2 linked regions of the Lepisosteus oculatus genome follow. The protein of the gene in region 2 binds, or shares a complex with, the protein of the main gene of each other region. Links are inferred from orthologs where the notes say so. Each region holds a gene or a part of one and is shown on either strand. Other genes may lie near its edges. The genes, in order: kctd16b and gabbr2.

What was found.
Region 1: the proteins of gabbr2 (region 2) and kctd16b are in contact, whole or in part, in a crystal structure (PDB 6M8R), measured with the Homo sapiens proteins. The link is inferred for Lepisosteus oculatus from reciprocal best matches to the Homo sapiens genes GABBR2 and KCTD16. Residues at the interface, in NP_005449.5 of Homo sapiens: Ile882, Asn883, Ile888, Gln889, Arg891, Leu892, Ser893, Leu894, Gln895, Leu896, Pro897, Ile898, Leu899; in NP_001357415.1 of Homo sapiens: Asn30, Gly32, Gly33, Gln34, Val35, Tyr36, Asp64, Leu65, Ala66, Lys67, Asp68, Ser69, Arg72, Phe74, Gly79, Phe80, Arg83.

The regions. Positions count from the first base shown.
Region 1 is NC_090706.1:25,280,781-25,297,519, forward strand, and holds the start of kctd16b (BTB/POZ domain-containing protein KCTD16), read right to left. Parts: upstream 7,672-16,739; 5' UTR 6,663-7,671; coding exon 5,819-6,662; intron 3,748-5,818; coding exon of another isoform or gene 3,680-3,747; intron 1-3,679. UniProt on the Homo sapiens protein: Auxiliary subunit of GABA-B receptors that determine the pharmacology and kinetics of the receptor response. Increases agonist potency and markedly alter the G-protein signaling of the receptors by accelerating onset and promoting desensitization.
Region 2 is NC_090705.1:32,057,273-32,074,115, forward strand, and holds the start of gabbr2 (gamma-aminobutyric acid type B receptor subunit 2), read left to right. Parts: upstream 1-10,449; 5' UTR 10,450-11,234; coding exon 11,235-11,546; intron 11,547-16,843. UniProt on the Homo sapiens protein: Component of a heterodimeric G-protein coupled receptor for GABA, formed by GABBR1 and GABBR2. Within the heterodimeric GABA receptor, only GABBR1 seems to bind agonists, while GABBR2 mediates coupling to G proteins.

The sequences.
Region 1 (16,739 bases), on a different chromosome or scaffold from region 2:
GTAGACTAATGTCAGTTTCTACCACATTTTCATGCAATACACAATTGTGCCCTGTTGATTCTTTTCAGTTTTAGTCAGTGCCCTATCTGACAATACCTACAGCTGTGAGTTCCACACGTTCTGCAATGAGTCAGCCTGACATTTCTTGTCTTTGCAGTTAATATAAACACAGTATGGTGACACCTTTAATTAAGATTTGGAAAATGACCTTGTATAAATGATACAATTCTCATCCCATTAGCACTATTTAATACATTAGCAGCACCTTTTATGAATGTAAACACTCAGAAATGTGTTAAGTTAGACTGGTTAAACAAGTCAGGTTCATGCACATTGCAATTAAATCACTAATACCCACTGAAGATCAATCCTCTAACAGTGTTAATCTATAATGCTTAAACTACAGAGTCATCTTTAGTTTGTTCTGACTAGCAAAGCTAAGAGCATGATATACAGTAGGTGAGCTTCTTACTAAGAAAAAAGGAGATGTTTTGGCACAAGATGATGACATGATTTACAGTGTCTTAGCTGTACACTGGAGTGAGTCCTCTGACTGTCACACTGAATGATTAATTATCAATCATTATAGCTATGAAACAAATTGGTAAATAACTGTGCCTTCCGGGAGATGTAGCCCATGCACCAGCAGTGAGGACTCACTGAAGCCTGTAAAAAGCAACTGGTACTCTGCACCAGAGGTAAAGATCGCCTGGCAGTAGGCAAAGCAGCTGAATAGAGAGGGAAAAAGAATTTGTCACTCTGTTCACCAACTTAATTGTATGTCTAAAAGCTCAGAAAGCCTGATCTTTTTTAAGTACAAAGTTAACCACAATGTTATATGGATCACATACATAAATATTTAGAAATGATGCCAATATAAGCTCATTTTTTGCTTATTTTTGTCATGAAGGTAATTTTATAGTTAAATCATAGGTTCAAATGCTTTGTCAGTTCCATATAATTAAAACTCATGTTAGAGTTAATTACCAATGTATCTCTAAGAGGTTTCTTTTTTGAAGGTTTGGAATCTGGTTGTAACTTAGATTCATTTTATTTTGAAATGATGGGAAAAATAAAGATTTTGGTTTGATTTGGAGTTTTGCATTAAAAATCATTAAAAGCCATTAAATTGAATTACAGTCCGACAGAACACCATAATAGGTGGCCTTCAGTGTTTTCAAGAGAGCAGTCTGAGTCAAAACGTATCCATTAGGCTTTTATAGTACAGCTTCCTGCCTAAAGCTGAGGACTGGAAGATCTTATCAGAGCAGATGGAACTATGAATGGTGATTCCTGCAAAGCAAACTAAATTATGCAATTCTAACTGGATGGATGACAATGTGGCTAAATGTTATTTCATAAACTGAAAAAGAACAGCAAAATACTAACTATTCTGCATATGCAGGAAGGAATAGGGAAATGTGTTTGAAATTGATGTCCCATCTCAAATATCATGGTGCATTTATGCATTGTTTTCCCTTTACTTTGACATGGTTTCACAATGTTTGCAACATGACAATACTCTGTGATTTACTAGGAATTAATTGTGCTGTCTACACTTTGCTCTGATTTTACCATATTTCAACCATTTATGCTGGGGTGTGCAATCTTGGTCCTAGGGGGCAAGTGTGTCTGCAGGTTTTCATTACTATTCAGCTCAGAAATAGCAAAACCAGCTGGTAACTGGTTTAACTGGACACAATCAAAAGCTTCTCCCAGCTCTTCAGGTGCTTCTACTTTAAGGAAACCAAGAATCAAAAGAACCAAGATTGAACGCCCCTAATTTATACACTGCTTTTTGATTAATTTTTCAAATATATTTCCATATATAAGAAAAGAAAGAAAATGAGCTAAATTACTAGACAAAATCATTGGAAGAACTTTAAACCCTGCTATGGAGTATAAAGATAATTATTCATAATTAATATGTCATTTGTGTGCATTAGCTGACATTCAGCATGTAGTATCTATAGCTGTGTGAATGCTTTCCTGTAGTTAAAAAAACTAAGTATAACCATGAAAATTCAGTGTTTGTCATGTTTATTAATAATAAACCATTGCTGATTTTCATCCGAATTCTAGCTAACTGATTTCTGGCATAATTTAGAACCAAGGTCCAATGAAGCAATGTAAGATTTGATGTTTTTTCCACCTTCTTAATAGAATTCTGGAGCAATAATCACCAAGTGGTTTAAAATCTCTGAACATGATATAAAAACTTACAAACTGGTGAGTTTTATATTATGTTAAAGGGGATCATTAAAAATGGGTTGCTTAGCATCAAAATCATCAGTTGCTAAGCATTTGACATACACTTTATTCAACAATTGATTTTAAACAATACAGCAACTGTAGTTTTTTTAACAGATCATTCATTTTGTGTACAGTTATTTCATCCTAAGAGGGCAATGTTACTCTCACTCCATATTCCAAATTTGTGTTGCTCAGGTCTCACTCAGAATTCCTTCACTATCCACTGGGACTCACAGCCAAAGCCACAGGCTCAAATCTTTTATTTTTCAGTGTGAAGCATGCATCCTAGGAAGGAAACTTTGCATTCACAGAATAACACATATGGTTTATATTTGTGCCTGGTTTTTTTATCTGTTGTCCATCATTCGCACAAATATTCACCCCTAAATTGGTGTCAGTAAGGTCACAAAGAGTGCATAATTAAAAAAATAACATGTGAACTAAGTAATTAACAAACCATATGCCTGCTCCATCTCTAGTCCTCAAAAAAGCCTTGACCCACCAACTGTATTTTCTTTAGGTTTTCCAAGGGGAGGTATTTTGAATCACCAACAAAGTGCTTTTTAATTGGCCATATGGCGCTATATCTCTCTCATGTGAGACACCAAAGAGGAAATGAAGAACTAATGATGAGGGGCACTCATGGCCAAACTTTGTCATCAGTCTCAGCAAAACACTAACTGGAACACCAAAATATGCAGGAGAGAGTTTTAAACTGAAGTTGTTCAAGTGTCTCGCATCCTAGTTTTCAATCAATCTTATATATGTTATCAAGTTACTATAACAATTTAATAATAATATTATTTAATTTCTGTGTAAGAGAATATGTAGTGTTGTGCATGATTATGATCATGGAAAGGAAAATGGAAGGAAGTGCAATAACAAGTTAAAAATGAAGAAACCAAACATTTATCTTTCTCAGACTCATAACATTTGCTTATATTCCCAAACTTAAAGAAGTCTTAGAGCGATGCATGAAGTAAGGCATCATGTAGACAGAAGTTAAGGAAAAAAAATTGTCTTTTTAAGGATATGACTTTTATTGATTTTTTATTTGAACATGTCTGTATGTTTAAATGTTTGAAATGGGGCTTGAAAAGAAACAATGTAAATTTGGAAATGTACATACATCTTTTTTACATCTTTGTTTATACAGTTGCTTGGAAATTTACATATTGTGAAGGAACTTATGTTCCCAACAAAAGGAATTACAATTTTATGCAGAAACAGTGAGTCATTTTTCAAATCTAACGTTTTTCATGGTACCTTTTCAGAAGTAATTGAAAATGAATTTTTATGAAGCTCTTTTTTGTAGTTAGGAGATCAAATTGTTAAGGAGATCAAGTTGTATTAGGCACAAATAAAACTCAAATTATATTTGCATCCTTACAAAAGTAGTCTCATATCGAAATTACATATACTGTACCTGTAGACTGCTGATTCTGCAAAGTTCAGACTCTGCAACTAAAGAAACCTTCCGAATTATCTCCAATACTGCAATAGAAATATAATTTGCTATTACATATTGATGTACATGTTATTATTATGCATTACAAAGCTTTTTAAATGTTGATTATGAGGATATTAAATAAAGCAGGTAAAGCAAAATATATATTAAGTACTTTGTTGTGTCCAAAGATAAAACATATTTTAAAAAGAGAAGAAACTGATGGAAAACCTATAAAGAAAATTACATTGTTGTTATAAATGGTGTTGGTGGACAAGCAGATGGTACCCTGTGGACTAGATCATCTAAAAAAAATATTCCAGTATGACAGAAGGTCACTGGTGCTATAGGAGGCCCCATCTTTCAGAAGAGGGCCCTGCCTAACACAGAAAATGTTAAAGGTCCCCTGACACTTTTATTATTAACAGAGATGTTAACCTCAGGATCATGGCCAAAGCCAGTACAGGTTAATAAAATATGGCCTGTTCAGGTTCTTTCAGCCTCAAATCAAATTAAATTCTGTTTTCTGACCATTTATGCCCTTCAACAATGGCCCAGATGTTACACTGCTGACCAAAACCAGGAGGATGTGCCCCAGAACAGTATAGGTGTGTTATTTTAGAAGTGCCCTTATTCTGACATCTTTATCTTCTTAGTTATGATAAAAAGCAACACAACCACTGTGTATATTGTATTGAGCATCTGACACAATACTTCAGACAATGTGTCCCGTTTGATCTCCATAGGGTTTCATATGGTTATACTGCAGGAATTTCTCAAGAGAGAATATACTGTAATCCTTGTGAGAAGCTTGTATAGACCTTGGCAGAAAACTGCATTTTTTAATTTGAAATCATAAATGTGACCTTTTCTAATTAAATGACTTCTATAATTGATATTACTGCCATGTAGTCTTAACCAAGGCCACATACAATTACATTTTACCATACTGTGCCTAGATGGCCTTTTTTTTCCTAATTGAGTTTTAAAAAAAAATGTTTCCACACGATTATCTGTGTTTCATTTCCATTGCTTTTTGACAGGAGAGTTCAAGCAACCAACAAATGATCTAGACTCACAATAGTTAGTGTCAGTACTTTGTTGAACCATAAAAAATTATGAGAGCTATTAAAAATCTCATAATGCTGCCTAGTAGTCCTGAAATAAGATGAGAAAAAGGCTGAAGCAACCAATCTAAATGGCAGCTGTGACAGCACTATTTAGAGAGGGGTGCTTCATAATGACTGTCGGTACGCAAAATTAGAAAAAAATGAAAATTGACACTTTGAAACAAATGTAAAGAGAAATTAGGATGACAAAAAAGGAAATTCATTTTTATTGTTTTTCAAGACGATCATTAAACACTGCTTAAAACTCAGAATCTCTTCACGAAGAACCATGGCAAACACACAAAATTTGTATATTTCATCTACAATACAGTTGTGTTGTGGCTCAAGAAACACTAGTTCTTCCAGACAATCACTACATTATAATACGGAATTAGTTTTTAAATGGTATCCTTTAACTGTTCTGTGAACATATTTCCATGAACAAAGCCAGCTTCAGTAATCTGAAATATAGATTCTCTTGTTCCTTCATACAGTTTAATAATATTTCTAAACGATGTATGAATATATCAGATATTCAGTACTAGATTTACTGTAATCTGTATTAAAGCACTCATGAATTAAAGTTAGAAACATATTATTCTCTCAGATGTAATCCCCAATTCATAACCATAGGAGAAAGACATTCATTTCCAGCTAACTTGCTTACATACTAAATAAGGGTTCTGAGCTTGGCTTGTCCGTTTCTTACATACAATATTTTCATATAAGCTACTGGAACGATTTTCAAGTTGTAGAACTCAGTATCAAGTACAATGACTAAAACAAGTGTGACTCCTAGCGGTGGCTCTTTAAAAAATCGGTTTTCATTTTAAACTATAAAGAACGCAAAAATTTGAGCAGGAAATTTACAAATCAAGAAAATTCGTAAAAAGAGTTCGTGGATTTTGCCCGGCTTGAGACGCAAGTAGTTTCATAGAATTCAAGACACAATTAAACCAATCGGCACACAAGCAAATCTGCACATGAAAGTCAGAATAACTGGACTTACGGTAGAAGACATATTCTGTGTAGCTGGACCAGATCTTGTCATCTGTGTATTGATTGACAAAGGATGCTGTCACCGACGAATTGCAGGCCACCATCTGGAATCCATACTCTGACAGCATGTCAAAAGCTCTCTCAAGGTGTTTGAACTTGAGATAAAACCGGGACGTGTATCTCTCTGGGGGTCTGTCTGGGTCCCTGCTCTCATTCAAAGTGTCCCCAAACACTTCTTTAGCTAAGGAAATCCTCCCGCATATCAAGATTCTCGGCACCCTTCTGAACTTGGCATCAGTCTGACTCTCCCTGCCCATTGTACATGACCCTCTGTACCCCACAGTGATGAACCCATATTTCCTGTCGGATGGTACTAATGATGATGGCGGACATATCCTTTGATCGCTCCCTTGGGATGCTTCTTCGAAATCACTATGAAAAAGGTCGTCCGGACTTTGCTTCAGGTCATCGGGGGTCAAAATTTTGACCAACTCGGGCAGCTGAAAGTATTCCGCCTCCCTCTTTAGTCTGCCTTTTTCTGGGAAGTGGTCAGGCAGGACGACTTGTTTGTCTCTAAGATAGTCTAACACGTACCGAAATAAAAACCCATCTCTGTCGATGAAGTACCGTCCCTTCGTGTCCCGTGCCAAGTCGTTTGAAGGATCCTTTTTAGGCGAGAAAATTTTGCCCAGTAGAGAATTAGGTATGCTAGTTAGGGTGGAATGACGAGTGAAATAAACTTGGCCACCCACATTTAGCTCTACAACATCGGGAAAAGAATTCTGAACAGATCCTTGCTCTTTGGTTTGCGGGTAAGTCCTACAGTTCCCACTCAAAGCCATTGTTTCAGTCATGCACACGAAAATCTTCGAGCCGTTGTCTGTACAGTAATACTTGACTAGAGGAGAGCTTTCCAAAAATATCGGTATTAGTGATTATCAAGCCAGAACATCACTAATAAGGAAAGAAACTACTTCACAAGCTGTTACAGCACTGGGTGAAAAAAAAAATCTTAGAGCCGTAAAATAAAAATAGCAACACATTCACTTCCCAAAGTGTTTCTGGGTAGTTGATGCAAGCATTGGTACAGCTAGATTAATCTCGTTTGATTCATTAAAAAAGAATGAAGGAGTAGAATTTCCAACAGATAACGTATGTTTTATTGGATATGTATAAATGCTTATAACGAATAAATTATTATGCATTTAAAATGCAAGGTATCCGTTTCTAGAATCTCCCCTAGGAGCATTCAAACTAGTTAAAAACGGGGATGGAGGAGGGGAATAACTCGGTAAGATTCCTCAGTCCGATATTAAAATGTAAACAGGCTATAGGTCGATAACTTCAAAAGCGCAGTATTTTTAGATTACTATGTTTCAGAGGCGACGACAGCTGAAGATATATCTTAAGATAAAGTAAATCCTCACCTCGGTCAGTGAAATAATATGTGGTTTCACATATTTCCTTATTTCTAAACACGTTATGTTATAAGTTCACAGCAACTTCATAGTCCTTGGGGCTGGGTAGAACACAACACTGGCGGTATTTCCAACTTATTTGGCGTGATGAGTGATTTGGTTAATCTTTCTGTGGTCCTTAGTAACTTCAGAAAAATTCCACTAATATGACGCAGTTCCACATGGAATTCCACCTTGATCGCCGAAATTTCGCCTCAATTCGATCTATCCGCAGTCAGAAGCTCAATCGGATCTAAAGCTGCTGTTGTGCGCTGGTGGCTGCACTGATGAAATTGGCTACTGTGTGCGCGCCTCTGTCTGAACTGCCCGAGCCGAGTGTGGAGATGCGATGATGCTCTGGGTGCCTTCAGAGCAGGGTGGTACCGAGTAAAAACGGTTGAGCTGATGTTGCTTCAGCAGTGCAGGGAGAAACCATCCTGGGGAATAAACTCTTACATCATCTTAAAGGAAAATGCTGTCTAAAATTGCCTTACCTCATCGTGTTTTTATTTAGGAAAACGTTCATTTCCATATTTCACCACATCCTACATGAATTAATTAAAAACTAATCTGAATGAATTATCGCGAATGCTGTAAATTAATGACAAATTAATTAATACTTCTGTGAATTTAATTATGTGTTCTCATTGCGTATCTTTACAATAATACATGATGAATCTATCATTTTGACTTAATGCTACAGTATCTTAAAAATAGCCTATGACCAGGGGAGATTAAAGTTACACTCGTTGACTACCGCTCTCTAACATTTTAATCTAATTATTTAAACAATATAATTATTTCGCATTCGTTACAGTTATTTTTTTATTCTTTAGCTAAATTAATAAGTGCTTTGGTGATGGTCCTGAAAGAGGACAGGGGTAAGTTGTAGACTTAAAAATGTGTACATTTTCAATATTTAATTAGCTATTAAGTACCTTTTGCCCGAGCGTTGACTGCGTTCTCGAATCGGGCTTCGCGTTATTTCAGCACCAAGGTCAGCAACTTAACTTTTGGGGTTTTTACTCTTAAGTTATTGGGGTTCACCGTCTGAAGCTAAGGATATTTTATTTTTAATTGGAAAAGGTTGAACTTTTAAAGAAAGAGTTTTTAATTTGTCAAAAAAACATGAAGATGATCCTTCACATTTTATTTTTCTCCAAGGCATCGGGGGTTAACATTCAGAAGTCAATTAAATACAACTATCGCTGATTTGTACTACATTATGCTTCGTGTTTATGCTAGTTCAGGGGTGCCTGTTTTTGTCCCTGCTTGAGTTGTCAATTAAAAACGTTAATTATTGTCACAGAAAGGTGTAAGAATTGTCTTAATGTTGTCTGCTATTATTTACTCAAAATATTCGCTTCTCTAATAGAACGGGTGTATGAATCACCTTGGCTCATAGTTAGAAGTAATGTATTACAATTATTTAGATAATTTAATGATTAGAACAGCTAAGTAGCTGAGACATTCAGTGGAACAAAAACACAAAGTCATAAACACAAAGGCCCTCCAGGAAATATGTTTGACCCTGCATTAGTTCCTCTCTGGTCTCACTTTTCTATTGGCTCTGATTGGCAGGACTTCAGTATAATTAGCCTCTTAATTGCTGGCTGTAGCAATATTATGTAATGGAGCAGATCAGCATAGACCACATCTTGATTGTTACGTCTTGCATTACTTTTGCCTCGATACCCCAGCAGAAAGTCCATATGGATACAGACTTGTGTGGTTACCCACAAAATAAGATGCTTCTATTTGTATATGCTTCTGTTTCTCTTGAATGAACAACCAAATGGCTCCTGTTTGAAGCTTGCAGACTGCTACAGTGAAATAATGCAAAGCATAAGATATTAAAAAGATATGATGTGTTTATCACCTTGGGCATTTTGGGTAAGGAAAAAACATAATAATCCAGATGTTGAATTTCCTCTGCTGCTAGTACTCTTATTGATTAAACAATTAACTTAAACAAGATTTCAATGAATTCAAAACTCTAATTGCTTGGTTCACATAGTTTAACATTTTCCACATTTGCGGTGCATGCAAAATAGAATTGTTAAATGTTTAACTGAGGGAAAAAGAAACAATTTATTCTCTTCAAACACCCTCAAGTCTGCACTCTAGAAAAAAGATCTGTGAGCCATTAATTTCTCTGCCTTCATCCTAATTTTTCTGGCGTTTTCAGGTTTTATACAAAAAGGATGACTGAAAGTCTTATCAGGAAAGTGTAGTGAAGCGTGTAAAGCCAGCTGATGTACAAGCACAGTTATGCTACTTTGAGCTATTCATTCAGTTTTTTTTCAATGCATAATACTGTATGGGCTGAAGTCATGAAAAAGATCATTTTTGCTTTTTTGAGAGCAGGGTGAGCTTAGAGTTGTACAAAGCATGTTAATATCGATTGTATATTTATAAACAACAGGCACATATTTAAAATAATCCACAATTTGTCTCTCAGAATTAAGTCATAGTTGACAGTCTAAAGTTTGCTAATTACTATTGTCACGTTTTCACTCAATTAATCAATTAGCTGATGTTAAAACAGCTGGATCTCAGGATAGCTCACTGCTTTACAAATTGAAAAAGGTTATACACAAACTGCCCCATGCACCAGATTGACACAGGATTTCTAATTCCACTTCCATGCCTGAGAGCGAATTCTCTCCTTTTGTATAGTAGACCTAACCATCTAAAATAAACCACACTTGTTATGTGTATAGACTAGGGGATTTTTTCTATGGTTAAAATTCAAATATTCTGTCTCTTTAAATAAAGAGAACATGTGTTATCAAAAGGAATAGCTGTTTGTTCAGCTAACAGTTATTTTCAGACTGCTATACTGGTAGAGGATAATCTATAATGCCACTCTGTGAAGGTATTATAAATTAAAGTTATTAAAGCCCAAAAGTTATTAAAAGTCATTTTTCCTTTGCCAAAGTGTCATAACCAATCTGACATTCTCAATAAGAGCAGATCTAATGCATCTTTGTATCATTTTTTTTTCCAATTTCAGATTTAGGCTTGTCTGTATATATTATATATTTGCTACAATATCAAATGGATTTTAAAATCCACAATTTTAATGTCATTATTTTTATCTTTCTCCACCTGAAAGATGGTGAAGTCCAGATTTTCCTTTCAGGGCTGCAGTCTCAGTTAAGTACATCAATCACCTTTATTAACGCTTTCCTTCTTGGGTTTCCTTTTGTTTGCATTTGATGAAGTAATATTCTACCATTTTCATTTATTGCAGTGTTAGAGCCTACTCGAGTGTGTCCTAGATTGAGGGACCATAAGTGTATCAAGAACAAGAAGCAACCATTTCACACAAGTAGCAACTTAATTTGCATCACAACTACAAATTTATATCATACAATTTCTAACAGTAATTTGCTGTGCAATTCTGTGCTGTCCCAGCACTGAAATCATCATCTTTCCTTCTGTTTTTGTAGCCATTAATTGTAATTGTGCAATGTATTGGGACAAGAAGAGGAATAGCTATTGTACAGCTATGAATCTGTATCCTTGTCAGAGAGTCAGCAACTCCTACTGTATATACACAGTATTTTACATGTTATTATTATTTTTTGTCTTTCAATCTGAGAAGGTTGAAACTGTAGAATATCAAAGAAGTTGGAAAGAAATACTCAGAACCCCACCTAGTGGTAAATAATACAAGCCTCTAATGATATTATGATGAAAATCTTTGCACTATTATTGTTGGTCTGTAAAAACTGTTTATAGTCTTCAAAGCAAGTTCTGGTATTGTGATATTTAGAAGCTTTCATCAGGAAGACTCTGAGCACAGACAGTAGCTGTTATTGTTGTTTTTACTGTTTGTGATAGTTTTTTTGGGTTTTCTCTATCAATTCCAAGTAACTCCCAACAAAAAAAATGCAAACAGTTCAATGAAGTTGTGTTATTATTTTATTCTATAAGTTAAGTCAATTGTCTGCCTCTTTTAAAGTCACATTTGGACAAGTCACATGAAGAATCTTTTCAAAATGAGTAAGCTACCCATACTCGATCATTCAAAAAACTCAGATTTCACAGATTTGGATTATATAAGAGTCGGCGTTACTTCTCTGACGCCAAGGAGTTTTGTGTAACAAGTTATAGCAGAGTGCCACTACCTGAGTTTCAAACTGTAAAATCTGTTTACATTCCCAGCCCTCAGTAGGTTATTTGATTAGTTGATACGCTAGCAAAATGTCATGTTTCATACTTTTATGTGTTGGGCTGGCACCAAGAAAAAAATCTTTGGGAATAAGAGTATTTCTGCAAATTATATCCTTATAGTCTAAGAGCTTAGTAACTGAGTGCCTGTTTGTGTCTTGAAATCCAACTCCTTCGTAAAGAACACCTGTGACAACTCAGCAAAAATATTTCATTCACTAGGTTAAATAGTTACAAAATGAAGCTAATAAAAGGGGTTGCTTTCTTAAATATTCATTAATTGAGGAAACAAAAGGTGTGCGAGCATATATAAAAACAGAAGTGAAATTTAGTTAAATAAGTGACATCTTATACATCAGAAACATTAACATAAAGCACTTTGTAGTGTATAATACAAAAGTAGTAGGGGTCAAATAAAGAATTACTGTATTTTGTCACATGACTGCCTAGCAGTAAGGATACCTTAATGCTCTAATGGAATATTGAGTAACTATTAAGACCACAAATGAGAGATTTATTGACTCCACCCCTTTTGTCTGCTCTGCTGGAAGAGGACATTAAGGTTTTCATCAATCAGGGGAAAAATACATTTCGTTTTATGGTTAATCAATCCTCTCTTTTGTCATGCAAAAAAATCTCTCAATATTCTTCTTTTTGATAACTCAGAAATATTTTCCTACTTAATTGCAAGAAGGAAAAGCTTTTATTTTTCCCCAAACTCCAAATTGTTGTATTTCATTTTTCTGCTTACTTCATATTGAGATGAGAACAGAATGTGCAGGAATCTCGGTGCAGTCATTTGTAACTAGGCCACTGCTGTAATCATAAATAAATGCATGCCATGTTTGCACATGTTATGTTTTTTTTTAAAGCTACTTGGCAAGGCAGCTTTGTTCTTACATCAACAGACCCAGCATGAGAATATATATTGATAAAGTTAAAGGTAAATTAGAAAAGAGATTTAGATCAACTGTGATGGAGCAGATTATCTTGCATTTTTGCAGAGTTGTTGTAATTTGCCAGTGTGCCTGACCGGATATCTTTTAGTTTGCTCTATAGAGTTCAACTAACATCTACTAGAAACAGCCTATCCAAATGAGGGAAACATCAAAGTAGATAGAGTAGCTCTGAATTTCCATCATGGCCATTGCTGGACAATATGTAAAATTATGTTTCTCATTTAATACGGTCACATGTCAAAGGCATAGTTCTTTATTGTTTTTCTGTACCTTGTCAATAAAAAGCTTGTTGAGGAGAAACAAGCAACTATATAATTTTGAAACATCTCAGAAACCTGTGCAGGAAGCAGTGTCCCAAAAAATTGGGAGCTCTGATAACTAATCGAGAGCTGAAAAGTGTTTCTACAACCCTCAATCACCATCAGTAAAGACAGACTCTGTTGAATATGTATTAATCCTATTGATGGCTCTTCAGTGTTTCTAGATTAATAAAGTGGGATCTTTTCAGAATTTTCTGCCTTGGAAGGCAGAAAATGTACAGTATAGCATATGAGGCCAAATGTTTAGAATTTACCCTTAGGGAATAACTTGTGGTTCATTTACAGTACTTTAAAACAGCCTTCAAGCAAGTTAAAGGTTCTGAAAAGATTATATTACTACACATTCATTAGTAAATGCTGTTCTGTATTAACAACATCCCCTAGCTCTTTTTTTCTAACTTTCTGCAGAGCCAAGACTTGCTGTTTGTGTTTTACAGAACTATACAGGGAACAGGGTGGAGAAAATGTTACTTTCTGTTAACCTGTAAAAACATGAAGGAAGTCTGGCACCTACTCTGATTTGTCTTCTTTAATTCACAATGTATTATTCTTCATCCATTTGCAGTGGACTGACTGCCATAATCCAGAGCTTCGGCAATAACTACCAGCCTTTGGTTGGAATCCAGTACAGCAAAACTATGCTGGGACTAATGAAAGCTCAGGTAAAATTGCAGTATGACCACATGATATTACATTTTGTTAATCTCACCTCCACTGAACCTCAGTGCTGTTTTTGACCCTGTGAACCATAACATTCGTTGTAGATTTTTCTGGCAGTTGAACGATGAAGGGTGAAAATCAAAATGCTTCATTGTGGCTATTTAATGTATAGTGTTCAAACCAACTTCAGTGCTGAAACAAAAACTCTGAAGGTATGGGCTCTCGTCAAACTCTTGAGGCACATGTCCAGCATGTCACCAAGACAGGTTATCCCGATCTCAAAAATATTACCCCATTCTCTTTTGTCAAAGCTTCATGCAATATAGTACATGCTATTTTATCCAGACCTGACTATTACAATACCCTATTTGCTGTGTTATCCAGGAACATTTAGTTACTCAGTAATTAAAGTTCTGAGCAGGTTTCATTCTGACAAACATATTAACCTTGTCTTGAAATACAATACTTGCGCTGGCTTCCTGTTGAATTTTGTATTGACTCTAAGATATTTTTCCCGATCTTCCGGTCATGACAAAAAAGTCTCCCTTTCTAAATTAGGATAGGTTAAGATATGTCTTTTAATTACTCCTGTGAGCTTTTGTGGTGTGAGGTCACTTCCATAGATTGGCATTCTGTCCAGAGTGTAACCCCACTTTGTCCCTTCTGCCTCTGGGATATGTCCTGGGCCAATTACCAATTGCCACATTACCAATAAAGTAGCTTCATGATGATGGGGGGATGGATGCTTTTGTTCATCAAGCACCCAGTATTACTTTGGAAAATCTCACACATTTTGCAAGTATTGTTCTACATTATGCAATAGCAAGTTATTATTTCTGATAGGAAACATAAAATCATAGCTATTTCAGACACTCACATTAATGTGGGCTCATGTATTTATCTCAAGAAAACAATATAATTGTGTTTTTTCCTCTGTAATATTCATAGGGTACTCACCGTAGTAATGTTTAGTGTATGCATCGAAATTAAAGGCACAAAAAAAATATCATCTATTTCCTCTGATAATGCAGATTATTTGGAAATTGCTGCCAGATTTACCCATCAGTGCCCTTATCTCTGCATTGAAGATATAATTTAGAGACTTAATTTAGATCTACTGGCCTTATGGCAGACACTCTGTCTCTGTAAAAACAGATCTGGAAGACAGGAATATAGTTTTCAACTAAATCATTACGAATTCATGTCTTCTATATGTTGCTATTATTTTGATTAATATTTGATCATCCAATGCAGTATTACTACTGACCCCCTAAAAACAATCTCAGACTGGATGTAAAAGGAATGCAGAATGCCATTTTCTTCTCAATATCACCATTCTTAATAAAAGTGTTATTTTTAAGATTGTGCTGTTGAAGAGCAGTCAATTTCCCCATGTGTTTTATGGCCACTCAAGAAAGGTACTGCACTGAAAAGTTGAGAATGTCCCACTAAATTATATAAAAGGACCTTATTTAAGAAGCATTAGAGCTGTCTCTGCAGATGCAGTGGAAAGCAGTAGAATAAGTACAGAAATCATTTAAATGCTCAGTGAAGAGGATGTTTTCCAAGCAGAACACCAGTGACCTTGCAAAGATCAAATGACATGCAATGTAACATGCGCTGTGCACAGTAAGAGTATTGAAATTGAACTAGTCTATAAGAAAATACTTTATGCACTTGAGATGCAGTTCAGAAGAGCTTTAAAGTATGTGTGTCTGATAAAAGGATGAAGAGAGTGTTTCAAAATCTCTTCAGAAGTGCAATGGGCTACCAGCTTCTGGATCCCTTCATAAATCTCAGTAATAGGTGGCTCAGGATAATCATGCATTAGTGCCACTGTTCTCCCATGATAATCCATCATAAGAAAATTGTTTAAATGATTCTAAAATACTCCTGCAAGCATTTGCCTGATAAATATAAGGTATTAAATCAAACGAAAATGAAATAACATCACTGTCTTCAATCCACACATTATTTACAGGCTTTGAAAACATCTAAACCAGTGTTTACAACCATTACCTTTTTTTCTTTTGAATTTATTTAATCCCAAAGTACAGATGTAATAGCAGTATAATGCAGAGCTGTAGTTTTCATTCTACAGGCTTTCTAACTAGATATGGTGTTCTGATGTTTTACCATTATTTTTATAGCCTCAAATTCTGCAAGAAAGCGCACTCAAAAAAGTAAAATAACAGGTATCACAAAACACATTGATGTTGCAGTGAAATTAGAGGACAAATATTGAAACTTCATTGAAACAGAAGGGCAAAAATGAATGAGCTCCTTGCCTAAAGTAAAATTATTTTTATAGAAAGTAATCCAAACTTCAATTAAATTCTTTGTGCAAATGCATTTTCATCCTAAGCCGTTAAGCTTTATAGCAATATACAATGAAGTGAAATTAAACCTCATTTAATAAACTAGATAGTTAATATTTCTTCATGCTGCTCCTGTGCTGTCATACAGATGTACGGAAGTCTCATTTTTTCAATTCCATCATCCTAAAGTAGGCTTGCTACTTTCCCTGGAGATGCTGCACTGTAACATGAAACACAGCAGACATTAACAAATTGGCAGGCTCTCTTGAATTTAAACTGTGTGGCACTGCCAGGCTGGTTAAGACATCTGAGTATTTGTCCAGATGCCAGCAGCTCTCCGAAATTAAGTGCCGCCAGTTTCAGAAATTGTGTTCAAATGCCTCATGCAGGTGTTATTTTAAAGCTCTGTTAAAATGTTGACTGCTTACAATGGCAATAGCAACAGTTACTGGCATAGGAAAGAGACAACTTCATTTTGTACATGTGAGAGTAAGATTGTGAAGTTAAAAAAGGAAAAAATAAATTTTAGCTGCATTGAAAAACACACTGTTGCTAATGAAGGTGCAATTTGCTTTCCATAGCAGTGCAGTGTAATGTGTAACTTTGTTTGTCTGATTTTGGATATTTTATGAGATGGGTGGCATTGTAGAGGGGTACTCATTCCGGGCTGAAGCACCTGCAGTATGGAGTTTGCATGTTGATTTTATGTGGATTTTTTCCCAGTACCCTGTACCCCTTTCGCCCCTATCATATGGGATAAGCTTCAAGTATAGACAAAACTATACTTTTATGAGGTTCATGTAAAGCAGTTTTATTTGCCACATACAGTATTTGCTTTTAATTATCTACAAAGGTTGTGCAAACATTTGTTTGGGAGCATAAAACATTTCCTTTTCTGAAACAATTCGATGTAACACAACATGAAGGCAATCAAGAAAGACTAATTTCACACATACATCTCAGCAGATCAGTTTCGAGAACTGACTCGTGACAACTGCAATAACATCACCTTGATTCAGATTATTCTTGTTTTTCAGA
Region 2 (16,843 bases):
GTTGAGTTAATTTGGAAAAAGGATTGAGTGCTTTAGTATTATTTATGGAGTACAGCTTCAATCAAACAAAATTCGATGGCTGCAAACTTTTACTTTGTAACATGATTCAAGCAGTCATGCATATTGAGCTGCATTCAGGTAGAGTTGGTTTTAAAGTTGAGTTTTGTGTCTGAGTAGGCACGTTTCTGTTAACACATTCACACAATGAAGTGTTTTATAAAATATAATTCCGATTACATCTTAACCCTGAAAGGCCAAGAGATTGTAAAGGATGATGAATGCTTAATCAATAAGAAACGATTTATCAGGAGGCTGGGAGCCTTTATTGCTTGTATAAACTGTTGTTCTGAGAGCCTCTGCAAGGCAGTATAGCCTGTTTTATAAACTGCAACTCACGAAAGACTGCAGGCGGGTAGCCAGTCATGCTACACTGAGATTTATACAAAAACTGACAGCTTTAGTAAAAACTGCTCCCTTAATTCTGACAGGTTCAGCACACATGAAAAGCGTTTGTCACCCCAGTGTCAACCTGAAGGAGTCCATGCCAAAGACGATGCACTTTTAACTACCAAAATGAATTAAAATAGGAGCAAAAAGCTCTATCCGAACCAAAAAAAAGGATGCCTCAAGGCTTCTTAGGAATTCTCCAGTATTTATCATCCAGGGATAGCAAACAGCACACTAAGGGATCTTCTAATTTCTATTCTCTGAACATCTGTGCTTAAGCTTCTTGTCTTTATCAAGATGTTTTTTTTTGTTTTTTGTTTTTTTGTATTGTGCTCTGATGATCAGAGGATTGTTTCACACATGGAAAAGCAGTTCAACACTAATCCATCATGATTTTCTCACATTTGTGGATTATTTCCATTTAAATGATCAGTGTCAGGACAAAAAAACAAACAAGAACATAATTCATGGCATAATGATCTTCAGAGTCCAGTACATTAGGGAGGTAAACTAGTTTTTAAGGTTATTTTAACAATGTTCATACAGCACCACTAACAGTGACGTATTTAATATGTGCAAAATAACCAACACATTTTACAATGCAAAACACAGGGCATCTGTATGTTTTATTTCACTTGTCTTTTTGGAGTGTTCACCCAGTTATGAAGCAAATGTAATGAAATACAAGTGAAATGAAATATTAGCATTCATGTTCAATTGGTAGAAAAGTTTTCTTCTTAACTCTACCTAAGCTATGTTAAAAGAGCACAGCTTCATTTCAGTTTCCAGCAAAAAGGATACATTATCACACCCAAACTCACACCCGAAGAAGGCTCCTCAGCCGAAACGTTGTTACTTCTCGTTTCAGCATGGAATAACCTTTAACTTGTTCCTTTGTAGCCTATACATGCTAACGCAGCTTCCTACTTGAAGATACATTATCAGTCTTTTTCCTATAATTAGAAAACTAACTTGTTAACTGAAAATATATCCATTTCCCATGACATAGATGGGTGATATCTTTCTCCTCGTTCAGCTTCATGGTTATTTTGACATTATAACATTGATCATGTTTCAGGAGTGTTTTGGGTTTGATGGGATTTTATCTACCTCTGCCTTATATTTCTGCATGTACCACAAGATAACTGACCAAGAAGAGACAGCAACTACACATGGAATGGGTGGCATCTCACCCAGACCAATGCAACTTGCAGACAAATATACAGTACTATGCATGCACTTCCTTCTGAAGGATTGTAATCACTATGTAAAACATTCACAGTCCATGGTATGTCAACTACAAAGTACTGGTGTAGTGACTATCAGAAACGACTTGTTCCTGGCACAAGTCAGTGGCTTACTATACAAAGCAAACATGTTATTTAACCAAACAGTTTTCTTTTCTATGTTCTATTATAAGACCTAAAATCTGTGCTTCTGTTGTAACTGACTCTGTAGCAGCAGTCTCTTTGAATGAAAGGGTTTCCAAAGAGGATAATCAAAATGAATAAAGTAACATTTAACATTGTATTATATACTATGGTATCATGCTAATGAAAAATGTGCCATCCCCAGTCAGGAATCAGGCCTTCATTGATGAATTTGAGAAATAATAAAAGTAATTATTATTATTTGTATTATTATTTTTATAATAATTATTATAATCGACCTACCTCTTTATTTGATTGATTTAAGGAAAGCGTCCATACTTTTATCTCGCATATTCTCTACAAAATTCCACACATGTGTTCTTTAGGCATCAGCAGGATTCACATAGAGTTTTGACTGCCAGACTGTCATATAGATAAACAATGTAGAGTTTTCTCCTTTGTTTGGCTTAGACCAGTGGATTTATTTTTCTTTATCTCAGCAGTCAAGTCTGGTAAGATAGAAGAATGCAAGATACTATTTCCATTAAGAAAGCAGTGGTAATTCTTTATGAACAATATATACGGTATTGTAACTGTGCTTACAAATAAATGTTCCGGACTATACTTTTTGTTACGGAGTGATAGCAAAACTGAACCACACATCAGATAAAGTATTATAGGCCTCTGGAAGAGGGATGAGTGACATTTGTAATGGTCTGTAGCTAATGCATCTCCCTCAGAATAAACAATCTAAATAACCAGGTGTAGATACCCAATGCTGAACACATATTGTTTCAGAGACAGAATGATCAAGAATGATTTTTCCCGAATACTTAAATTGTAACCTAATTTATTCACTCATTGATTGTCTATCTATTTGAAAGTAAGCTTTCCATTTTTAGTTTTTCATTTATCCATCCATTTTCGAAACCCCCTTATCTGATACAGGGTTGTGGGGGGGAAACGGAGCCCATCCCAGCAAGGACATGAGGCAGGATAACACTGCATGGGACACCAGTCTATTGCAGGGCACACACAGACATAGACTCACACACACTAACACTTGATTCAATTTTCCCAAAAGCCAATTAACCTACCAGTACTGTATGTGTTTGGACTGTGGGAGGAAACTGGAGCAGATCCTTAGCCACAGAGCCACTGCACCGCCCGAGATAAAGGTTTGAAAAATGTAAAGAATTGTGGAGAGGTGAATCCTGCACATTTTGGAGCTGAACAGTTTAAAATGTTCGAGTATAACATTTCAGTTACAGTATAAACGTTGAAAAAATTCAGTTACTGGACACATGCCTGCTGAAGGCCAAGGTCAATATATTGTTTTTCTGACACATGCACTGTTTATCTGAACATGTTGCAAGTCCTAAAATGCCATTTTAGTGTAATTGTTATCATACATTTTACATACATACTGTTGCCTATGACAGCAAAGCTTTTGTACCAGGGGTACTGTATATTTTCATCCAAAACCTTGCATCATCTAGCACCTTTTTCTTTTGCAGATACAGCAAGCTTATTTGACCAACACCAGTAGTTGTTAACAATGGTGTCATTTAACAGTAGAACAGTTTGGGAGGAAGGCTGTTCTAATCTAGCACATCTTCTCTTGCACCCTTTCCTCGACTTTAGCTTCATCACTGTAGCAGCTCCCAGGTCTCTGGTTTCCTCTGGGAAGTGAGAGGGGTTGTAATGAAGTCCATCTCTGGCTAGCGCTGTAGTTGACTCTTCCAGGTGAGCCAATGCCAAAGTATTAAGTATGCTGTCCTTTAATCTTCCTTGTCTAGTTCTGTTAACATCGTAATGGAGATTCTCCAAACTATCAACAAGGCTGTGATTTATGCAAAAAACGTAGTATTTACCAACAACAGCTACTGTATGAGAGGGTCATGTGCCATATGGAGTTTTCTTGGTTGAACATGTAATTGTTGTTGCAGTATATTGATGTACTGTACATACAGGTTTTGTGCTTTACCCTTTATTGGTTCAGGTTCAGCAATTTGCAAAACTGATGCCTTTAGTGAAGAAATAAAAGGCTTGCTGAAATGTACAGTCCCACAAAGGAATAACGGAGAAAAAAATGGTAGTATAGCTATTACATTCCTATCATGTTTGACTTCTGGTCTTTAGAAACTGAAACGATGTATAGAGTTTTGCACCATGAAGTTAAGGGGGGAATGAACAAGCAGTGAAAAAGGCTTACCTGTCAATGCTGCAAATGCAAGAAAGTCTTTCAATCAGTCATCTGTGATCTCATCCATCTCTTTCTTGAAGAAAATCAGGGTATCAGCTTTCAACGAAATGGCTGGGAGGCTTGTTCCAGACTCCCACAGCTTTGTGCAAAAAGTTGTCCTCTTGTTAATTTTAAATTCATCACCCCCTTTGTTTCCATTTGTGTCCTTTAGTTCTTGTTTCACTAATTTGAGGATGTCCATGTGATTCACTTTGTTAGTTTTCATTTCAGTCACTTTGGCCAGGCTTTGTAAGAGATCCTGAAACAGACTGATGCAAGTATAAGATATCCATATTTTCACTTTCTTTTTGTGAAGATATGTATATATTAAAGCAGACTAGGATAATCATAACCAGCATAAAATTATACTGATCTACAGTATGCATATGGAGAACTCACGCACCAGTGGAAAACTTGCATTAGGGATGAAGTAGCCTTCGGAGATTCCCGCTTTTTAGTTGTCTCAGATGCAAATCATTGTTGGTAATTTAGCTAAATGAACTAAATGTAATTTAGTTCAATGAACCAGAAAAATGACTTGTTTGCCATCTTAGAAGATTCATCCTTAAAATGGCATATCAACCTCACTGCATTTGGAAATTAAGAAATTTAATGTGATTTTCTTGACGTCATTTTCCTGCACTCTCTCTACTTCCCAATTTATTTGTGGAATTTGCTCCAATTTGTTTTGCTAGTTGGATATGAATTAATTAGTCTAAAACTTCATAGTTGACATATAATAATGGATAACAATAAACTTATGTCTACAGTTTGGCCAGTTCTACTGAATGCATAATTAAGGGGGTGTTTTTCAAAGTCATGTTTTCCAATAAATTAATTAAAATGTATGAAGTGAAGTTTTTTTATCCCAATTCCCATGGTTATAACTTTTCATTTCAGAAGTGTGATAAAGCTAGGTTTAAGTAATAGTATTATATGTTTTGCAACCACATCTGTTGATATACAGCACTCAATAGTTAGTGTCTGATAGAGGGGCTCTAGATTAAAATATTTTTAACTGGTACAGCTGCACGTGTAAATGGAATACCTTTTTTGCTTTAGTATGAGGCTAGAAAACCACAAAAGGTAGGAGAAAATGGGACATAGTGGTATAAAAATCAATAGCATCTCATACTGTATTTCAGTACTGAAACCAAATAATGGGAAAAGTAGAATGGGAAAAATCAATTGATTTTTCACTACATTAATCAGAAATCTTTGTTTCACATGTCTCACTGATGATTGATAACCAACAGCCAACCATCCTAATCTCACAAGGGTTTTTGCCAGACGTATTCCAACAACAACAATCTCATTGTACAATTACATAAAAGCTTTGAATTTATTACCTCTTTCAGGGTAATTGTCTTTTTTTCTGTTTTAGAAAGAAGTTGTGTCCAGCATTTCTATTTATTCCTGCATGCTCAGAGGTGGCTTTATCTTGTATCCTTTTTCTGAGTCCTGCCCACTATAGATTTGTTTATATTGGTTCAATGCAGACCCACAAAAGACTTATTGGTAGCCTTTGACAAGTAGAAATATATATGCTGACCACTCAGATGGAATGGAAATCGCTACAGTACCTCATTCATAACAACTGTGAAACAATGAGACGGATCTTTTCAGATCATTTGAACCCTTTTCAGTCTGTCGTCATGTAAAAGATTGCATCTTGAATTTACCTACATTTTCATGAGTAAGGATAGATTTTTTTCACACATGATCATTTTTCTACTAAAAATGATCTGTTTTTAATTCTGTTGTTCGGGTTTTTCTCAATTGTGAATACAAAGAAAACTGAGGGTATGACACTGTAGCCACTTGCTCAAAAGTCATATCAGCAAATCAGTATCACTAACCATGTACAGTATGTACAACTTAATTCCAATCCTTCTTCAAACTAGCTTGGCCGATGTTTTAACATTGTTAATGACAATTCTTACTCTTGAATTTCTTCCTTTTCTTTACATACAGTTCTTGTTTACCTTTTCAATTTTTCTTTTATGGAAATCAGCCCCCAACCCCCTTTCATTTAAGAAGCTATTGCAATTATTTGGGCCTATAATCAAAATGCACATCATAGCCTTGAAAAAATAGCAGCTCAGCATTGATACGTTTTGCTCGTCCAATGCGCAATATTCCCTTCAATTGCACATTTACTCTCTCTTGACACCATATGGATCCTACCTTAATGAAACTGTGTTCATCCTTGGCAGCCCACAGACTGGTTAGATTCCTAGGGGAACACAGCATTAAAGGATATTTCAACGACAAACAGACACAAGGATTAGTGTTATTGATGGTACCCCTGGGAACACTATGCCACTAATAGGGGCAGTGTTTCAATGATAGGCTACCCAGGACTTCTACACCTTTGACTGGAGCTCCTCTGAAATAAGAACATTAGAAAGGTTATAATAATAATAATAAAAAATGTTATTTTAGATAGCACCTTTAAAGGTGGCTTCTCAAAGCACTTTACAGGATGACAACAACAATAAATAAAAAGAATACACAAGATAAAACACAATTACAATACACAGAGGAGACCATAGATGGTGGTACTAAGAAAAGCAGGGGAGTGAATAATGGAACCAGTTAAGTAAAGGCTTTTCTAAAGAAGAAGGTTTTGAGTCTGGATTTGAAGGAGTTTAGAGAAGGTGACTCTCTGAAATCCTTGGGCAGGGAGTTCCAGAGCTTGGGGGCAAAACAGGAGAAGGCCCTGTCACCCATACAATGTAGATGGGCTTGGGGGACAGTAAGGACACCAGAATTAGAAGAGCGAAGGTTGCGAGGTGGGGAGTAGGGCGATAATAGTTCAGACAGGTACTGAGGTGCCAAGCCATGCAGAGCTTTGTACTGTAGGTGAGCATGAGGATTTTAAAGTCCAAACAGAATTTGACAGGAAGCCAGTGCAAGGACTCCAGGATAGGAGTAATGTGACCATTTGCACTAAATCTGGTCAGGATTCTGGCTGCTGAATTTAGGACATACTGCAGTTTGTTCAAAGTAGATTTAGATACCCCAGCAAGTAGAGCATTACAGTAGTCAATTTGAGAGAAGACAAATGTGTTGATCTGCTTTTCAGCCACAGTTAGCGATAACATAGGACGTAGTGTGGAGGGCATCTATTTTATAGCATGGCAGCCTATTTGGTAGTCAGTGGTTAATTAATGCAAGCAACTCATTCAGCTCTTTCTTAATGTGCTTAGCTTCAACAACATCACTGGGTAGTTTGTTGCAAATTCCCACAACCTTTCTGGTTTTTAAATGTATGTCTGAATAGTTTCCATTTGGAACATCTGGCTCCTGTTTAATTGTTGGTTCGCTTCACTGTTCAAGACTAAAAAAGTTTCATTCCTTCAGTCTGTCAGTTAAGGACATTTTCTTTCAGTCTGCATCTGGTAGCTCTTCTCTGGAATGATTCCACAGCAGTAGTATCTATTTTATAACATTGTGACCAACAGTTTATACAATATTTTAAATGAGGTTTTACTAGTGTGTTAAGAATTCAACATAACATCCCTTTTTTATTTAAATTCTATGCTTTTAACTATACATCCTCGCACTTTGTTTGCTTTACTGCTTCCCTACATTGTCTGGAAGATTTAAATCATGTGTCAACGTAATAATATTAATATCATATATCATAATATGTATTCATAGTTCACCTTTTTAATTCTTTTTCAGATTCATTTGTTTACCTCTACAGTATTTGCTGTACCGCCTAATTTGGTATCATTTGAAAAATGTAGTCAGCTAAGTATACCGAAATCTAGAGATTGATACAAATTGAGAAAAGTATTGGTCCTAGTACAGATACCTGAAGTCCTCCTCTAATTACATCACCCCTTATATGTGTCTGCTTTCTATTTAATAACCAATTCTCAATCTAAACACTGAAGTGTTCCCGAATGTCTACAACCTGCAATTTGAAAATTAATATTTTATGGGGATAAAATCTTTTTGAAAAGTCTTTTGAAAATATGAATACTGTAACTCGTATCATAGGTCTGAGTGTACCTTACTCCGGTGTTGGTTAGGCAAGATACTGCTAGCATTACTGAATTCCTGTTGATTATTTCTATATAGATGATCCACCAGGTTAGTTCTTATGATTGTTTCCATTACGTTACATGTAACAAATGTCAGATGTTTTGGTGTGTAATTTATTTTTGTAAGGTGTTCTCACTCTTTTTATGGATTTGTACTACATTTCCGATTCTCCAGTATCTGGGTGCTGCACCTGCCTTAAGCGACTGTTGGAAGACCTGCCAATGGCTTCTGAATAACATCTTTTGTTTCCTTGGGTACAATTGGTAAGATACCATTACACCCTGGGGATTCATTTATCTGAAGTACTTCTAGTATCTGAAACTTCTAGTATCACTCTCACTCTTCTATCCTAATACTAATACAAAACTTTGTCCTTCTGCTGACTGAGGTATATTGTTTATTTCTTTCTTAGTGAATACCTGAGTAAAATGCTCTTCTAGTACATCAGTCAACTCCCTTTCATTGTCTGTAAGTTTCCTATTTTTTGTCCCTTTTATATCTAACTTCATAGTAAAATGTATACATCCCTACCGTTTATATACACCATCTATAAAATGTTTTTAGGACTCCTATTTTATTCATCAGGTTGTTTACATCCTTATAACGCTATACATGTAAAAAACGTACAGAATAATATCTAGAACGGACATTTACACTGTAAGTTCTGTTGTGTGAATTTATCTTTAAGAATTTCAATATACATTTATTAATTTAATGTTTGCTTTATTTGATGTTAGGCGCCAGAGAGACAGCTAGCTTCGGAGCAGAACATCTGAGTTTGCAGGTGACAAGAGATCGAAAAGGCAGTTGAATCGCTTTAACACTCCAGGGACAGAGAGATCTTTCTACGAGTAGAGTGTGAAACCATATATTCTGCAACTGCCGCACTTACAAAACGAGTTTTTAAATAAACGTATTCAGAACACAGATTTCATTTTCGAGAGATGAGAGAGGATCTGTTGGTCTCTGCTCTTCTGAAGTGGACGCGCATCTTAATTCAGCACCTCGGATAGCAACCTCAATGCTCTGCCTTTATTGTCGGAATAGCCCTTTTCCTATCATTTCGAACTGCTTTTCATTATTAAACATAAGTTGTTCGCTGTTTTCTTTGCATTAACAGTGTATTCGTTCTTTAGTTTCAAAGTACTTAAATCTTAAACATTTTCGAAGGCATGTTTGTACATAATTGGTAAGATATTTAACCAAGAAAGGTTTAATTTAGTACCTTACAATTCTACAACAAACCTCAACACATATTTCAAAAACACATTCAACAAAAATTCAGTGTTTTTCGTATATTATTGTTCGTCACCTAAGCTAAATGGACGAAACATTCATTGGTTATCATAGGCATTAGACATGTAGTAAAATGTCTGATATATTTTCTAGAAAAATAGGGGTAAAGAATTATGACTGAGATGGCCTTTTCATTTTATGATTATGACTATAATTTACTCATATCATGGTCTGAATGTCACAATTCCTAGAAAAGTGTCCAGTTATCGTGAACTGCTAGATGGCAGTGTTTGTATAAACCAGAGCCTTCTAATTATACCCTTGCGTCTGGCAATTTAATAAAAAACGCTTTTCCATCACACAGATGCTTCAAAATAATTTAAACCATTCAGGATTTATTAATTTAAACCTTCAAATGTTTAATTCAAGTCAAATTTTAAAACAACGTTCGTCTGGTAAAACTGGTAAACATTTTTGTCACAAAGCAACTGTCCATGAACATTTTGGGTCAGGTGCATGCATGATAACCTGTTACCATATCTGATAATCGGATATAATGGAAATCTGTAAAATTACGCTTTTGTAAAAGAGAATGTAAAATATCCTAACAACATGAACTAATCAGAGCTTGTGTGAGTGCTTGTCTGGAAAATGTTCAGTATCTGGGTAGGAACAGTTCAGTTGAAATCCATTCTTAGTTACTAAAAAAAGACCATATTACACGCAGTGATTCAACACGGTGCTCTTCTGCGTAAACAATAGTAGCTCTTCCCAATACGCTGAAACCGTAGTTTACCATGCGTGTCAAACAGCCAACGATGAGGTACGGGTCGGTTCGGACTGCGGTGCTGTACGCGCTCTCTGATATCTCTACTTGAACATGAAATCTAATTAAAGGCGTTTAGGTTTACGCGGTGACATTTTACTAGTCTATTATGCCAGTAAATAAAAAACAATCCAAGACGCTATTACAGTACCTTTCTCTTCTAGGCAGCTGGTGATTGCATGGGAACGGGTACCAACAGTTCCCTCGAGGTTTTTTTTTTTAATCTCCTGCACAGCTCGCTCTCTCTCGCGCGCTCTGATCAGCACAGGCACAGAAGACCTGTTCAGAAGCACCAAGACAGCAGCAGCAGCAGCACGACTCAGGCTTGGAAGGAACGGACTCGATCACATCTCCTCACTAGAGCTGCTGCTGCTTGCAAGATTGCTTTTTACTCCCTTTTAGTAACAGCGTTGAATTGTCCCCCCTCTCTCCTTCAAAGAAACAGGGCACTGGCAGGAATGCAGTATCCGCACTCTGATTTTTTTTCGCCAGGAATACTTTCGGATACGGGATTCGTTTGCATATCCAAACACTCTTACTGCAAGTAGTTCAATAATATTGCTTCTTCTTTTTTTTTTCTCCCCTTCATCACTTTGGATTGTGATGTACTGCCCTGATTGTGTCGGTATCTGGGAGGTGAAAGGAGGGATCGAGTTGGAGAGACTTACAGATTAGCACATACTGTACTGCTGTGGATCACAGACGGCAAGGAAGGGGAAGTGAATCTCTTTCGTCTGTTCACATCTGTGAGAAAATCCCCGTTTTCATCACATCGTCACTGTTTTTTTTTCTTACATCTGGAAGGTGCTTAGGGAGAATCATACCGAAGCGCCATTAAAAGAAGATTGCACCTTACCGTGATACCCTCACCCTAAAGAAAAGGATATTTTGATTGCATCTCTGCCTTCGGCTTTTGTTTTACTGTAATTCTGTATATATATATTTTTTATTTACAGTTGGGTGTAGGATCCACCATAAACGCGCAAAATAGGAACAGTTTGCAATGCCAGGGCAGTGAAAGGGTGCATCTATTCCGTCGCCCTGTTCAGATAGCATGGCTTCATCCCAGAGGAAATGCAGCTTGGAGATGATTGTGGTGTCGGGATGCATGCTTCTGTTTATCTTGGGATTCCGACCTGTTTTTGCACGAGGTTGCAATGACAACGCTGGGCACAATTTGGACAATGCGTGGTATGCTAAAGACGGCAAAGAGTTGCCCATCATGGTCTTGATGCCGATGAATGAATCAGCGCTTATGAGCAGTATCAGTCAAGGGATCGACCCCGCTGTTCAGCTTGCCATTCAGCATACGAAAGAGTCCGGGAATTATTCTTTCTCTTTGATCCCCAAAATCTACGACACTGAGGTAACTCGCAGTGTTCTGTTCATTAATATGTCGTTGGTGTTGGTTGACGGTTACAGTCATGTCTACATGATATAACACTGGCGGGGAACTATGCATGCACGATGAACTGCCAGTGATGCAGGTACGGTAGATTCATGTGGAAACTGGATTCTGAGATGGGTTGGTACACCTGCGCTGCACACCGCAGCCAGATCTTCTTAGTATTGATGCAGAAAGACTTCAGAGATAAAATAGAACAACGTGACATCCTATCCCCAAAACAAACTAATCAAGAATGGGACTGAATCCACACTACCGGCCATATACCCTATACAGTACCTAGCTTAACACAGAATAGATAAAAATAAAATACCTGCGCAAACGTCATGGCAATTTCAAAATCTTGGGAATTATTTTGTAGATTACTTTTGGTTAAAATAACTAAGTGACATGAAAAGAGACTTAAATAAACCGAATACAGGTTTTAATTTCTGTGAGGAATGATGTATACAACACATCGAAATATTGTTAATGGAAACGTTAAAGCACCGCAAAACAGAAAGGAAACATTTAACTTTTCTTCCGTTAATCGATGTAGAAACGCTGATGTTTTCAATTGCAATCAATTGCTTAATTGCAACCAATTATAGACATTTGTAAAAAAGATGTCTACATTTGCAGGGATTATAAAGTCACAATGCTTTCCTACAGTATAGTATATGCTGGTGCATGTCGTATTTTCAATATACTGTCCTTTCAAGATCCTTTTAGTCATTTTAATAGATATGAATGATTCCTGTAAATTCGAGTGGCTATGAAACATTTATCCTTTTATCGTACATTAAGAACGTTGCTTAAAAATTACTTGACTTTCTTTTTAATGCCAAATGTGCTGTTTACAGTGGACGCTTGCCACCTTCATCAATAATCTATTTCAGTCACGATTTATATTATTTTGTCACAAGCTTGCTGCTAATTTTGTTTACCTGAAGATGGCAGTAATTTCTTGTTCAAAATCTTTTCTAGTCTAGCCAGCACATCATTGTGAAACCATCAATATTAAAAGTAATCGAGAAATCTTGATCTCCTTGACATTATTATGGTGGTGACTTTTTAGAATATTTCTGCATCGAGGAATCGGGCTATAGCACATTTTATGTAACTTTGTCCATCTGTTATTTTGATTATGAAAAACGGGACGTACTGTAAGTAATTCCGGCCAACTTCATTCACCAGAGAGATGCCTTATGAGACTTCTGTCTCAACAGATGGTTGGAAAAATATCACAGGTGATTAAAAACCATGACGAAGTTTCCTCATCAGAATAACCACATGGCCATCGTGTTTAGAATGACTGGAGAGGACTCGTTTCCTCTGGAAATTATCAGCATCGTAGAATATTTTTGCTCATTGCACTTACTGTATCTAGTGCTCGGGTAAAATGGAAATTTTAGGGCCACATTATCCGATTAGAAGATTAATACCATTACGAAAGAAATATATACTGTAGATCACTTTTTTTAATTGATGACATTTATCACAAATTTAATTCTCCTCACCCAATATGAAGGTAAAACTGATCTAAAAAAGAAACAACACATTTTTTTAGTTCTCGACATTGTCACAGTGAGCATAAATGACTGAAAATTACTGAAAATAAACCATTGACCAACAAAAATTAAATCAACCAGTCAATAAACCAATCTCTGATCTGGTATGTAGTCGAATTGAAGGTTTTTTGCAATGTTAGCTTTCCTTGCCATCTTTATTATTACAATCCAATTAAGTATGTTTAATGAAACTTATGTTATGGTTGTGTAGAGCATTTTAAAGGTGCAAAGGAACATAATTACCTTTAATTTAGTGGAAAGGCAGTCTTAGCCAAAAAGCATTTAATAAATGTCACTAAAAGCTCACTTGAGGTCAATTAAGAAATTCATGAGGTATATGGCCTAATTGTTAAAAATGCAATCATTATGGTAGTGGGCTTTGAAAATCTAACAGAAATTGACAGTGCATGGAATGCAAAGGTGTTGCTGAAACTTTTCATGGCTTAGTAATTACATTGCATTCTCTAGGAACCCATGCCGTTAAATTAAATATTCTTTATATTCCTTTGTCTGTTTTGTTCATCATTAAGATTATTTATAACGTGTAATATATTGGATACTCATCCAGAATTGGATCTTTGTCTTGGGAAGGGGTGAACTTTAATGGCTTTGAAGGCTTGCAAAATGAAATTCATTTGAATTCCAACAGTATTGGTACATGTCCAATATTGAGTACAGTAATTAGCCCGTAGTTTTCCCAGATAAATTGCAATTGACATTTAGCCTGTCAGTCCTGTACATTTGAAATACCTATTAGGAAAGTGCAGGTCGGACTTAATCCTAGAGGTATGTTTTAACAGAGAGTGCATAGTTCAGTGGATGGAAGTGGGTTAATTTAATAAAATGCAAACATTTTGAAAATGGATGAGTTTAGAGTTACAGTATTTATTCCTAGGCTTTTCTATCATGGACTTTACTCCAAAAAAAAAGTACAGAGGGGCTAAGAATCCTGAATGTGTGACTTACAGTACGTTCCTTTTCAACCATTCCATCCATTTTCAAAACTCTTCACCCCAGTCAGGGTTGTGGGGGAGCCAGAGCCTATTCTGGCAAGCAGAGGGTGCAAGGCAGGGTACACCCTGGGTGGGATACCAGTCCATCACAGGGTGCAAACACAGACACAAAAATTCACACCAGGGCCATTTTTACCAGAAGCCAGTCAACCTACCAGTACGTGAACACAGGGAGAACATACAAATTAAACACAGATAGCACCCCAGGCCAGGACTTGAACCCAGGTCCCCAGTGCTGTGAGGCAACAATGGTCACCACTGTTTTAAGATAGCAGCTTTGTGCCTTTTTTATTTTAATACCACAGAACCTGAAGTTGGTGAGAATTCCACTCAGAAGCTTCATGAGGGCATACTATTCAAGTGCGCGATGATAGTCTTGCAATGTTCACTTTACATATCGAAGCAGGAGAAAAATATGGTTGCAACATGGAAATCTAACATTGACCTGATCGTGAAGAATTGAGCAATTCTTTTTTCAGTTTGATTCTGACACATCTGGTAGCATAGTCTAGAATTTAAAAAAGGCCATGTAAGTAGGCAGGGTGATCCAAACTCTTCAATATCCCTTCACGTTCTGCGTGTTCTTTCATTTCAGTTTATCTTCCGCTTCTTTTAGCTTGAGTTTTCTTTTATCAGGATCACCTTTATAATCTTCCTGTACACTGAATTACTTATTGTCGCTGAAAACAAAACCCGCAGACTGTGATTCATATGCCTTGGGATCTCCACACAGTGTCCAGTATCTACAGGTGTACAGTATGTACAGAAAAGTTAATTTGCAGAGACAAGATATACTGTAAGTACCACATACCAGGTACTCAGCAATGCCAAGTAGATGTTGCACATGTTGGTTTCTGTTCTTCTAGCTTTCATACTGTATTTGACAACATGTGGTGATTACTGGCTTTGTGTAGCATCTATCTGATGTATAGCTTGGAAGACCATACAAGTCCTGTTTGTTCTAGAGGTAGTTCTAGAAAACACATACTATCATCAGAACAGTGCATACTACACTCAACAACTCTGCCGGTCACATAAAGTCTCAGATGACTCTGTTTTAGTAGCTTCAATTGATATGTGGGGGATTTAAAGAAGAGGAACAGGAATACTAGTCATAAGGTTAGACCTACAGTAGATCACAGAAAACAAACCTTTTAATTTACATCTAAGGTTATGGACTGGTTGGTAGCTGTTCCTGTTGCAAAAAGGATTTACTATACTAATAAGTGTGCATTGACTGTGGACATTGATTTTCTACTAGTTCCCACAGAGGAAACATGCATAACATTGTGAATTGGAGCACGGGATGCAAAGTTGTAAATGTGTCATGTTATCAGAATCATGAGGAATGTAGCAATAAAAAACTAGAAAGAACTACAAACATTTGATGGAGAAGCTCACTTGTTTAATAACCAACAGCCTGTAATATCACTATATAAGTAAAACATAGGTTTATTGCACTGTTTTATTGTTTATTGAGTCAAAGAATCTCAGAAGACTTCATCAATGTGAGAATAATTCTATTAATATAACTATGGGTCTAAAGTAATTTTTTATACATTTTAAGGAGCCCCGGGCTACAATACATTATCTCCTGTGATTTTCTTTCCCTATTCACTTTAGAAACTCTGAAAGGGGCAAATGTTTGTTTGGTGTCTGGAGATTATTTGCAGACTAGGGCTGTTTGTTCTCTAAAATCCACCCTTGGCATCTTACACTGACCTCTCTGCAGCCCCAGGGAATTATAATTAACATTCTATTGCATTATGTCTAAAACATTTACGCTTTCTCCTAAGCAAAACACATTTTGCTTTAGAGCGATAATTTACTGAAGAAATACATCTCCTTAATATTCCCAAAGAAATGTGGCCCAAGCCGAATTCAGATGTACAAATGATACTCGTAGATTAATGTATAAAACATAAAATTCATTACTTTGTGTTGAATAATATTGCTTAGAAATCCCAGTGCTGATTGCGGTGATTGACCATAAAGTGTAACAATGTATACATGATTTATGTAGCTTCTCATTGCAGATATTGAGCATGACAGATTAGTTGCTGTACAGATCCCGGCGATCAATAAGTAGTATCAGAAGCTGTGTGTTCATTTTTATTACTCTTTTTCATCAGGTAATCTAATTGAAAACATTCGTATTCACTAGAAATGAGATCCATTTATACCTTAGCAGCAAGCTGTGGGAAATACCAAGTTAAAGTGCACAACAGCAGCATCCCACAAATCTCTGGGTGGGAATGTAGAGACCAAACCACTCCTTCACTTTGCTCTTCTATGTTTACGGAGGTAATTGTGGAAAAATATGACCCCTGAAAGCTCAGAATAAACACGTCTACCTGTTCCTTTAATTTGACCATAATGCCAGGGACTAGCTGCATCATGGTTAGTAATGATCAACCTCCCTTTTTAATTGAAACGATAACATACTGTAGCCATACAGCTGTGTATAAAGGCAGACATGCTGGTAGCTGCAATACATTTACAATAATGCAAACATCACAGGATTAAGATACATTTTAGAGGTGCTTGGTTAGCTGATTTCCTGTAAGTGTTGCTTTAAAACATGTCTCAATGAAGAAAGTATTAAGGTGTAAGATAGATCTTAAAGGGTTATACAGCCATCTTCAATTTTATTGTTTAGAATGATTCTACAGCAGTCTGCTGTGTCAAGGGTATA